Daphnia pulex: one gene and its partners. The protein of the gene in region 1 purifies or fractionates together with the protein of each later gene. This does not show direct contact. Links are inferred from orthologs where the notes say so. Each region holds a gene or a part of one and is shown on either strand. Other genes may lie near its edges.

The links.
Region 2: the proteins of partitioning defective 6 homolog gamma-like (region 1) and partitioning defective 3 homolog purify together in Drosophila melanogaster (affinity purification with western blotting; 7 studies listed by BioGRID). This does not show direct contact. The link is inferred for Daphnia pulex from reciprocal best matches to the Drosophila melanogaster genes par-6 and baz.
Region 3: the proteins of partitioning defective 6 homolog gamma-like (region 1) and lethal(2) giant larvae protein homolog 1-like purify together in Drosophila melanogaster (affinity purification with western blotting; 5 studies listed by BioGRID, with this or other methods). This does not show direct contact. The link is inferred for Daphnia pulex from reciprocal best matches to the Drosophila melanogaster genes par-6 and l(2)gl.

Annotation. Positions count from the first base shown.
Region 1 is NC_060019.1:10,154,372-10,158,258, forward strand, and holds partitioning defective 6 homolog gamma-like, read right to left. Parts: upstream 2,397-3,887; 5' UTR 2,124-2,396; intron 1,953-2,123; 5' UTR 1,917-1,952; coding exon 1,845-1,916; intron 1,784-1,844; coding exon 1,660-1,783; intron 1,593-1,659; coding exon 1,366-1,592; intron 1,160-1,365; coding exon 996-1,159; intron 927-995; coding exon 545-926; 3' UTR 517-544; downstream 1-516. Other genes in the region: protein DEK-like, read left to right, coding at 50-67; Bloom syndrome protein homolog, read left to right, coding at 2,841-2,890, 2,948-3,063, 3,125-3,304, 3,375-3,601, 3,661-3,753, 3,824-3,887.
Region 2 is NC_060025.1:9,144,067-9,147,719, forward strand, and holds part of partitioning defective 3 homolog, read left to right. Parts: intron 1-197; coding exon 198-512; intron 513-657; coding exon 658-1,133; intron 1,134-1,758; coding exon 1,759-2,006; intron 2,007-2,092; coding exon 2,093-2,275; intron 2,276-2,438; coding exon 2,439-2,525; intron 2,526-2,760; coding exon 2,761-2,928; intron 2,929-3,012; coding exon 3,013-3,113; intron 3,114-3,193; coding exon 3,194-3,315; 3' UTR 3,316-3,653.
Region 3 is NC_060023.1:5,198,236-5,202,302, reverse strand, and holds the end of lethal(2) giant larvae protein homolog 1-like, read right to left. Parts: exon of another isoform or gene 3,988-4,067; intron 3,906-3,987; exon of another isoform or gene 3,864-3,905; coding exon 3,711-3,863; intron 3,644-3,710; coding exon 3,425-3,643; intron 3,363-3,424; coding exon 2,933-3,362; intron 2,821-2,932; coding exon 2,618-2,820; intron 2,550-2,617; coding exon 2,323-2,549; intron 2,255-2,322; coding exon 1,868-2,254; intron 1,788-1,867; coding exon 1,672-1,787; intron 1,539-1,671; coding exon 1,390-1,538; intron 1,248-1,389; coding exon 1,200-1,247; 3' UTR 636-1,199; downstream 1-635. UniProt on the Drosophila melanogaster protein: Essential for the development of polarized epithelia, for cell polarity associated with asymmetric cell division of neuroblasts during development, and for oocyte polarity formation.

The DNA of each region.
Region 1 (3,887 bases):
TGTCATTGTTGTGCAATAGTTCCGTTTTAAATTTTTAAATGGTTTGCAGATTCTTGGCAGTGAATAAGGGCGCTTCAAAAATACTTCATTTATAAAGAAACAAGCTGTCATTTTATACGAGTATATTTTCGAAGTGAGTAAAGAATAATTTCTTAATGTTTTTAGTTTGTTCTCTCCACTTTCTTGAAGCACGGTGGTGCATATTGATAATACAATTTGAACTGGAGACAAGTTTTTTTTAACGTTGTATTTGTGCCGATGAATCGTGTAGATCGAGACTCATCGATTAGTCATTTTACTAATTACCATTGAAAGGCCGGTAAGTGTTGAAAAGGCACACATGTTTTTTTTTTCTTAACTATAAACCTAGGGGGAGGGGTGGACGGGATATAAACGCACGCATTGACCGATGTGGTTTGCGAACATTCAGGCAAAAAGAAGACAAATTGTTTTTTTTTATACACTTTCATTTTTTAAAAATAAGGACTCAAAAGGGAACGTTTTCATTTTCATATATGGATATTTGTGAACTTAAATCATAATGTTATAAGTGAAGGATGCCATCATCTTTCGCGTGGCTGGTCCTATCGCTGCCGCTGCTAGCACTGGTCTGCATAGTAAGATCCTTTATCTCATCTAAGTCGTCGGTTTCGTCTTCTTCATGGTCCTCGTCAGAATGAGAGTGAACCATTGACGCGATGGTCGAATACGACGTCATCGTGTCATTGTGTGAGGTTCTTGACAGCGTCAAAACACCTCGTTGATTGGCCGGTTTGACGGTGATGATCAAGTTTGCACTATTAGCCACCATCATGTCGGTTACTTGATCTAGTGATTTTCCGGCGACTTCAATACCGTTCACTTCCAGCACTTCGTCATTGACCGCCAAGAGACCAGTAGATTCGGCCAATCCGCCAGGAACCAATCTGTCAAAAATCACGGTCTGTCAATCACAACATAATAAAGATATATATAGATATAAAGTATAATCATACCTTGATATAAAAATTCCGGGGACTTTTTCTAGGCCATTAGGTGTGACACGTACCGAGGTACCGTCTCGAATATAAAATCCAAGAGGTCTTTCAGATCCATGTTTGAGCAGCCTAACTCGACGGCAGGAATCGGGCACTACATCTACATCAATAATAGCTGAAACCTGTTTTAACAGTGAATAATTCAGTTTAATGCCCAACCAAGCATGAAGCAAGATGCAACAACAAGAAAGGAGACTAGGAAACAACAACTGGAGACATAACGCCAACAACTAAGATTACGCAAGTTCAAGCAAGAAAACAAGGCGTTTAAGCTAATTACAAATCTACTTAATTAATGAAAATAAACAGATGGAATAATCAAACCAACTTGTCGAAATTCCTTTGGATACGATATGCTAATGTGTGGCCTAGTTTTGGGTGTTCCTAATATTGATGATATTAAATTCTTTTTAGAAGCATAGTGTTGATGTAATTCATCATCCTGTGATTCTCCTCTTCTCTGTATGTGGATTCTCAACAAAGGACGTGCTGCCTGCAAAGCTCTAGCAAAGTTGTCATCATTGTTGATGGGCAATAAATCCCCATCATTGGGGTCTGTATGATGAATGAGACAAATTACAAATCAGTCTTTGAATAAGTAGTATATGATGAAATTACAAACCTGTATAACTTATATAGAATGGTTCAATTTGTAAGCCATGTAGTTGTTCAAGCAACTTTCTGAAATCTTCATACTTTGGTAATACTTTTTTGTTTAGACTGAATCTTCTAAATTCAGCCACAAACTAGAATTAAAAGAATTTTAATATGAATAATCTTTGGTCATGACAGAAAATGAAACTTTACTTTGCTTTTCACTTCCACAAAGTTTGAGTTTGTTCTTGGTGGAGACATCTGAAGTTTCACTAGCTTTGACATCTGCGTTTGGGCCAAATTTAACAGTGAATAAGTATCCTATGTAGAAAACAAACAAAACGTTTCAATAGATTCATAGTTCTTTATGAATATCCACGCCCCAGTAAGCATCCGGTTACACCTCCAACACCGACAATTGCGTGAAATCATCGGTTGTTCACATTCTATATCCACTACAAGATGGAAAGGGATCTTGAGAATTCCGATTACCTGGATCGTCACTGATGGAATGGAGAAAAACGATTTAACTCATTTGAATGTTATAAAATGAATGAGCAATTTTCACGTTTCCTTGGTAGGCACCATACAATGAAAATTGACAGACATGACAGTTATTGAGGACGGTTACGAATTGGTGCAGCCCTCTAGAGGATAGAATGGAAAAATCTCGAATTTTACTGTTTTCATAAATTATAAGTTAAATATTTTTATTTTAAAGGTATTTTAAAATAGGAAAGTGAATGGATGAAATTCTCATTCTATAAGTGCTAAGTGGTTTTGATATTTTATTAGTTTACTAGTATATTGCAACAAGTTGGCAACATTTAAATGTATGTAAGCGGGAAATCGTCTGCTACAGCTTCTTGTTCAAGTTTTTCAGCGTGATGAAGGTTAACCTAACTTGGTAGACATTAGACAACTAGAACTAAAGATACCAAATAGACATATTTCAATAATTCGATTACAATTTCTTTTGCATAAAAGTGGGAATTATTCTTTACTCGATTACATTCGTAACCAAAATTGACCCTCAACCAGTTTAGAGTTTACAATGATAGTTCCATACACTTTTGTGAACTCCCTTCAAATTGTGTTAAACGTATGAAATCTTGAAAAGCTACGTGGAATCCTACGTGGACAGCGAAGTGAGAAAAATTCACTAGCTACATTGTACTTGTATCAGGATTTAAGAGATTTTCTAGCCAGATGGAAAAATACCTTCTTCCTCGTGCTAACAAACTCAAACTCAATTCAAGGTTAGTTAATTTCAATTGTATTTGTGAATAAAAATGTAATCATGAACTCTTAAATAGCATCAACAATACCTCTACAATTACATCTCAAAGTTTGTCAAAAACAAACAAGAAACATTCAGATGTCTGTGACATTAAATCACATGATGATTTTGATCAAGATTCCACCCCCATTGGTATCAAAGTATTTTGTCACTTGTCTATCTTTTATGTTATATTTACTACTTTATCATTTAGAGTCTAAATCCTCTTCAGCCAAGGAAGCAATTCAAGTGCCTTTCAAAAAAGAGCCCAATCGAGATAAAGGGAAAAGTTTAATAACTAAAAAAGCAGATTTTAGTATAGGAAACCTTGATGGAAAATTCTGGGGAGACTTTAATGATAAGGATGAAGATAATGATGTGGATGATTCGTGCGGTAATCCAGTATTTCATTTGCTCCAATACTAAAAAACCATAAAACTAAACTTTTTTTTATGAAACAAAAGATCATGCTTATAATAGTGTACTCAGCACTTCGCCTGTAGTTAAACCTAGAACATCAAGCAATTTAAAATCAGCCAAGGATAATATCAGCAAGAAAACATCAAATAAAGTCGAAGACATGAGCAAAGATTTGTTTGAAGACGAAGATTTCAATTTTGATGACGCTATTGATGTTAGCCATCTTGAAGATGATTATAAAGATAATTATAACAAAAATTCGGATCATGAGGTATGAATTAGCTTTCACGTCAGTTCGTGTCATTTATTTTACAGAATATTTTGAAATAGACTACTGATCTTGAACAATCGGTTGAAGTTATCGAAAGCCAACTACGAATTGTGTTGGATACAGAAGATTGGTTTGAAACTGCCAAAGAACAGGTAAACTCATTATTTCTAGTCAACGAGAAATTTGACAGCAAAATTATCGAATCTTCGTCGTTCGTTACAGGATGTCTCCAATGTTTCGGACGCATTAAGACGAGAAGTAGATACGAAAATTGTCAACCTCTTGG
Region 2 (3,653 bases), on another chromosome or scaffold:
TTTGTTTTATTATGCTTGCTCGGTTTTTTATTTTTATTTATCGCATCGCGCTGGGTGTAACGCTTTTTATTCCGTTTCTTTTTTGGTTGCCGGTTTGATCCGGTTTTTATTTTTATTTTATTTTTTTTCAATTTTGCCATTTTTTTAAATTTAAATAATGATAACCGTTGTGGATTTTTTAAATGTGCGTGAATCAGACAAGTCGCAGGAGAATAGCCGGCCGCTTTTCGTCCGTCCGGTTGACCCGCCTTCAAGAAACTCTTCAAGGGACATCGGCCCGACTTTGGGGTTGAAGAAATCGTCGAGTTTGGAGTCGCTCCAGACGGTCGTCCAGGAGATCCAGATGCAGGAGGAGGAGCCTCAAATCGGTTGCTACGGCTATCACCGGCCGACGGCCATCCGGGTGGTTCGAGGACGCGGCTGCAATGAAAGTTTCCGAGCGGCTGTCGATCGCAGCTACGACGAGTCGGGCCAGCCAACTGACGGCACCAACAAAGAGCCCATGGAGACACGTAAGCAACCCGGAAGCGTTTTACCAGACTAATGTTTTAATGTCCATTGAAAATTTCGTGAAACTTTCGGGATTTATTCCGGACTAGTAGACTGGAACATTCTTTTTTTTTTAATTTCTCTATTTATTTTCTCTTTGCGATTTAGTGGACGAAGCGTTGGAAGTTGAGGTGAATGAAATGATGCCACCGCCACGCTCTCCATCGGACATCGGAATTCCCATGTTGAACAACAAGAACGAGACGCGCAAGAGCAAAAAGAAGAACGCCAACGCGGCCGGACTCCTTTTGAAAGGCCTGGGCTCCATGTTCCGCTTCGGCAAGCACCGCAAATCCGCACCAGCCAGTCCAGAATCCGGTCATCAGTCATCCGGATCGGATCCGACAGTTTCGGGTCATCATTCCATGGCCGGCGGCCACATGATTATGCCTTCGTCCGGAAACCAATCTCACCATCACCACCAGAGCGAGCGGAGATCTTCTTCCGGTCATTCCGGAAGCATCGGCAGGTCGTCTGCCGTGAGCGAAGTGGACCGCCATCACGTCCTCAGACGAACTCTTCCGCCCGATGAACGTGACCGTGCAGAGCTCGGACGCCAAATGGCCATCGCCGTCGCTCGCCAGGTAAATTGCAAAAAACTCAAATTCGTGCGGATGATTGAGGACAAAGAAGAAGTTTGGGTTGACGTCATCTCGCCTTATGTGACGTCTAAAAGGAGAGGGGGGAAAACAACAAGTGATTCACCGGAAACATTTCACCGACGCTCGATTGTTTCGTCGAATAATGATGTTCGATTAAAAGCGAGTCTCGACTTTTTACGCATTTAATTCATGGGACTCCCACGCGTTCACAGGGAGCCAAAGTTCGTGTACACAGGATTTGCGGCTTTTTATTTATTTTCTATTTTTTTCTACGCGAGAGAGAGGAGGGTTGGAATAATTGAATGACGGGATATTGTGGTTTTTTCAAGTGCACACAAGCGACATTGTGAAAGACACACGATTTCACTTTGGGAAAATCAGTTTTCTTTTTTCTAGCTATAGAGCATAGGCTTGTAATCGAAGAATTTTTGTGAGTTGTAAACCATTTCGATCGTAATGTTTATTTTCCCGTTGCGGAAGAAATTAGTGGCCCCGTTTCTAGTCCATTTGCTGTTGCCATCTAACGGTTGTTTGTTCTGGCTTTAGAATTTCTGGTTTTTATTCTTTTATTTGATTGTTCGATTCTTTTCTCTTATTCTTTTTACAGGCCGCCCAAGATGAACAGAAGAGAATACAACATCATTATTTACGGTTGATGGATCAGCAACAACGCCAGGCCGCCGCCGCTCACGATCACCAGCAGAAGCAACAACAGCAGCAGCAACAACAGCAACAAGGGAATTCAGCAACAACTGGTGACCGCTCGCAGAGGCTGCATCAGCTGCGCGCCCAGCACCAAAAACGGCACGCCGAACAACAAAGACAGTCGACTCACACGCCGACGGAACAGTTCGAGTATGAAAAATATTCAAATTGCAGACGATGGAAATGACATTTTAACGTTTTTTCTTTTTCTTTTTCCCTTGACTTGTTTTGGTTAGGTCAAATAATAAGAATGTGCCGGAAATCATACACGGACGCTCGGCCAGTTACGACCCTTACAACGACGTGAGGAAACCCCGTAGCCGGGCAGCTGTCGGCGAACCCAATACTCTTATGCCCATTCCGGCCGTGCCTTCCTCCACGTCCAACTACAACAACAATTACGACGAATTTCAACTCAAGTAAATATCTTTATTTTCAATTTCACAGAACTTCTTTGAATTTAAGATCGTTTGCAATGAACGTGTTATTGTTGTTCGTGTCTCCACTAATATTTAACTCGACCAACATGTAACTAACGGTTTTGTGATTTGATTGGGGGTTTTCTATTTTGGCTACGAAAAGAAATGGCAATTTGAACCCGGTTCAGATTCGTGAAATGCAGGAATTGGTCCGTCATCAAAGACTCAAAGTTGAACAGGGACAAGTCATGTAAGAAATCAACAACATTTCCAAACAAACAAAAGTAGCGCGAGTTGATTATTTTCTTCGGTTGGTTTGAATTCGCCGCATCCGTCGCCTGCATTTTTATTTTTCGTTTATGATTTTGCATGGTCCCCAGTTTTATTTGGTTTTATTAGTTTTTATTTCGGTAGACATTTTGTTTTTTAAATTAAATGTTGATTGGAATTTGTATTAATTCATTTTCATTTGTTTGTTTTTGCAGTCGGCGTCAGCAGCACTATCACTCGCAGCGATCGGCTCGCGAGACGCGGATGAGCCCACCGGGTGGAAATGGTTGGTCGGGTGCCGATCGGCCCGTCTCCAACTATTTCGAGTATGAAAGTCTTCACATTGCTGGTCACAAGGTCGCATTGAGCGGACCACCTTACAAGTAATATTGCACACACACGTTTCCGATTTTTCCCTTTGTGCAATAAACTAACGAAATGTCTGTGTTTTTTAATGACTTTCTCAGACCTCAGCAACAACAACAATCGGGAAATCGTCGCCCACCCACCGTGCAGGGCGATGATACAACATTTTTCCGGCGCCCTGATAGAAACAGCACTGGTCATGGTACGTCTACTTCTGTTATTTCGGAATTTCATCATCTTCTTTGATACACTTGAATATGAATGGATTATTTTAACTTGCAGAATACGGAAGCAATCAAGGACGGGCATCTCAACGGGAATCGGTTTATGGTGCATCCACCTACGGAAGCGGCAGCCAAAATAACCCCAGCAGACCGGCTCCTTTGACAGGATCTAAAGTCTGAGCAGCAACGACGGCAGCAGTTAACATTCAGCTAATTATATAGGGACAATAGGTATCTGTGTTAATATCAAACTCAAAAAAAAATGAAACTATCAAGTACTTTGAAAACGAATGCATGTGCAGTCCATTGGTCAGATTTTCTTTGAAATATTTTCAAAGGAAAAAAGTCCATTTTCATTTTCATTTTTTTGCTCGATCAAAAAAACTGTTGAATTGTAAATAACTTAAGAAACTGTTTATTTTTTCAACACAAACCCAACGCGGAAATCTTCAAAGTCTGTCCCCATCAACCAATCTATTTTTAAATATTCCAATCCCTCTTTTTACATATTAAAACAC
Region 3 (4,067 bases), on another chromosome or scaffold:
TGTACCTCGTCGCTCTACCGACTACTACTTCCTATTGAAAATAAATGCACTTTGCTACAATCAATTCGTAAGATTTTGATGCTTTCGCCGTTTTCTGTAATAAGTGGAGACTATCGCCGCTAGTGGCGGGACCACTTGATAGGAATTCGAGGGGGCGGAATAGAGTTTGAAGGAGGCATGTCCGTAGAGGAGCATCAAGACGACGCCATCTCCGAGAGAATCTTCCGCCATATGAGTCGCAGTGTCGCACAACCATAAGTAATGGCTCTGGTTAAAGTAAAGTGGGTTAGAAGAAATCCGTTAACGGATCAGCCTTTGGACACGGATCTTTGATAGGCCTGTATTTTTCAGATTTTTAGGTCCCATAGCGGAATGGCCCAAATGGGAAAAAACGGGGGGGGGGGGAGTCCATGAATTCGGTGCGCTTGAGTGGTGGATTTCTTGAAAAAATCGCTGCGCGACGCGGGAACGAAGCGCGGACGAAATGGTCGCGTACTCTATTACCTATTTGCGCTTGGATTAACTCTACTCGGCCCCTTTTCTTTCGCTGTCTTACTTACTACTTACTTTTTACTGTCTTTTATTTCAGAAGTATTATTGACATGGACCGGACAAAGAAATAAAATGAATCGATCTCAAAAGGTTTCCCATAGCAGGATTGTATTAGTAAACCAGATTCCATACCGAATTCTCATATACAAAAATGGCGGTTGAGAAAACTCGTAAAATTCATGAAAAGGCAAAACTGATTAAAGGCAGTCGACTCACCAGTCAAACAATTCCACAATTTGTAAATTGGAGAAGATTTTAGTTCCTTATTAGCGTTTAATTTGAGTACATAGAATAATTAGAAAATAAATTCCTTTACAGTACGGAGAAACCCTTTAAAGAAATAGCCCAGCGCGACTACAATGCTCAGTTGTAGCATTAATCTTTGCTTCATTTAGGAATATTCGAATTGATTTCAGTATGTGGAATGCTTTGAGGAAATTATTTTCTCTACCATAATATTACTAAAATAAGACAATTGTGATACTGGAATGCAGTAAAAACCGACACCATTAGTTATTGACAATAATTAGCTGCCTTTTTGCTATGAAATTAGCTTGATTAACAATTATCAGCCAACATAAAAATTTGGTGTTTCTACCAAATTAAATGATTTCTTTGAAATTTTATAAGCTGCTAATTCACCATCGTTATTTTGAAGTTTCCACATTTTCTTCAGTCGACAATTCAGTAGGGTCCTAGAACAGTAATAAAATGTGCCAATAATTAAAATACAATCAGCAATAAAACATTTCAAAATATAATAAATATTTCAAATTGATGTTAGAATCTAAAAAAAACTTAAGTTGTAGACTAGTGGTGAATATAGTAAATGTTTACCTTGGTAACAGTCACATCCAAATTTCCATGCAAATCACTCACAGTACATTCTTGCGAAACCACACGATTCTTCTCCATATCAGACTCTAAGTGCACATTAACCTTAGTCTCGTGATGAGTAATGGAATATGATTCATCTATTGAGATTACTAAAATAGATGAAATATTGATTAATAGAATTCTTTTTTGTTTATATTATCCGAGTTAAATTCGTTAGTGTTCAAAGTCAGCACTAGTTAATGTAAGGTTCAATAAAATCAAATGAGACAACTTCTTGATTACCGTTAGAGATTTTTGAAGTTTCGTGTAAACTTAAAACAGAGGATATTTCTGTTTTTACTTGTTCAATGCGAGTTTCCGATGCAACTTCTGTGATTCTACATTCGTCCAAACTAAGGCTTCAATAGTCAAAAGATTTCATGCAAATAAAAAATGTTAAGAAATGTTTTTCTTTCTATGAATATAAATGGAAACCTACACTATATGATCTTTGACAGAGTCCACCGTCATATCTCCAAAGCTGGTTTCCGGCTCAACACTTACGATTGTTGAATTGTTAATTTCATTATTGCAGATATTCTTATCGTTTTCTCGGTCTTCATTTGGATTACTCGTGTTTGAAATGACAGAAACGTCAGAGAATTCAGTTTCCATTACTACTTCTGGCTTTTCTTCTTTTGACGTACAAATCTTGATCACCGCCTGAGAGGAGGATTCCACGGGAGCCTGGGTATTTTTCATCCCATTCACTTTACATTTTAACTGGAGGGAATTACGAGCACTCAACGCAACACGTTGTAATTCACTGGAAGACAACATGTAAAATGCTTCTCCTTGATTTGTAAGGACAACAGTACTGGTAGCACTATAAATGATCCGAAATTGCTGATGAAATTTAAGAAAACATTAATTAAGAAAAAACCTTTATCTTACTGTATATCTTCCTTTCGTATAGCCTGTGCATTCATTTGTCGCCGCAGTTCCGGGAGACTTAAAATGTGAAAATCTCCTTGATTGGACAGACACACCAAACAGTTCTCTTTATAGGACGGATCCGATCGAGCAGTAAAGGGAACAACCGCAACGCGCCTAACTTTGCAACCAGTGTAAGCAGTTAATTTGTACTTTCCATACGGGCGCAGGTTTGGAAGTGTGAAAACCTAGAAGCAACAAAAATAATGCCATTCATTACATATGGCAATTAATTCCTCGCATACTCATCACCCACTTTGAACTGTTCTTCCGACGAAATCACTACGCGATGCGGAGGACAGGATTCAGAAGTCGATTTAATCCCAGAGTTTTCAAACGATTCCCCAATAGCTGCATAAGAAGCATCAATTATGTTAATCGATACAACAGGTGCTCGATGTTTCAATTGAATCTCTTTTGCAAGTTGTGCGTTCACGGGCTCCACGTGTCGTCTATTTCCTGAAATATTTAAAGCAAATAAATATTAGACAGAAGGAAATGAGTGCATAGTTAGACACAAATAAAGAAAAAAGGCCACAGCAATAATATAAAAATTAAAATGTCAACATACCCGTCTGTATGTTAAGGCTAAAAACATATATAGCTCCGCTATTTGTTCCGGCCCAAAGAGTTGCGGTAGCATTGGAAGACTGACTGATTACGTAAGTTTTGACAAGCAGTAAACAACGAACCATGCTGCCCATACCGTCATCTAACATAACATTTCTAGCTTCAATCTGCCTCTCAACAGGCCGCACTTCAGCAGCTATAGATGGCCCAGCATTGTTTATAGCGTTACTATCTTCGACCTTTGATATCGGTGAAGTTGGTGCACATTTAGGGCCAGCGGAAGGACGCTGGCTACGCCCTTTACGCAGCCGCCTGAAGGATTCTCTGAGGGATTTTTTAAAAGATTTTCGTCGTGACATTGGCTGCTCTCCAGTTCCTGACACATCATTCGGATTAAGGGTGCATTTTGCAACTACCTCCTTTTTAACGGTCTAAATTTTTTTGTAAAGATTAAAATGGATTGCGAACGATGACCATTTCATTCAATACTTACTATATCATAAAGTGTTAGTCCATGAGCTGTTCCTACAGCCAATACTGACCACTCTGCATTTAACGCTAATGCCGTGGCTGCAGCGGGAGGATGAAGCTGTAGGACAGAAGTTGGCTGGAAGCCTGGTTTAAAGGACAGTAAACCTTTCCTTACTACTAACTTATCGTGGCCTTTCCACACAAAATTATCCCGATCTGAAACTATGTTAACGAGTACAATCTACGTCAAGAAGAAAAAAATATATAGAATATTGAATTTAAAGTAAAGTTTTGCAAAATATAAGTACCGGGACTTCTTTTTCCGATTGCATTTCGAATAATTCGGCAACGACAACTTGACCAGCCGTCCCAGCAACTGTTAACAATCCAGTGACAGGGCACAGGCACAATTTCTTAACAGCCAAACGTGGGTCATCTGAGTAAGGATCGAATACTCCAATCTGAACTCGCATAATATAAAATTTCAATTAAAAAATAAGAAGGTAAGGAATAATTGACACTTCTGTTAAATACTATCACTTGGCACCACCAACTAAATACTAAAAAATGTCTATCATAATGAAGGACTCTATACAAGAAAAACAGATAAAAATGGAAAAGGATATAATCCAGTCTTGGGCAAAGCAAAATGTATAAAAAATAAT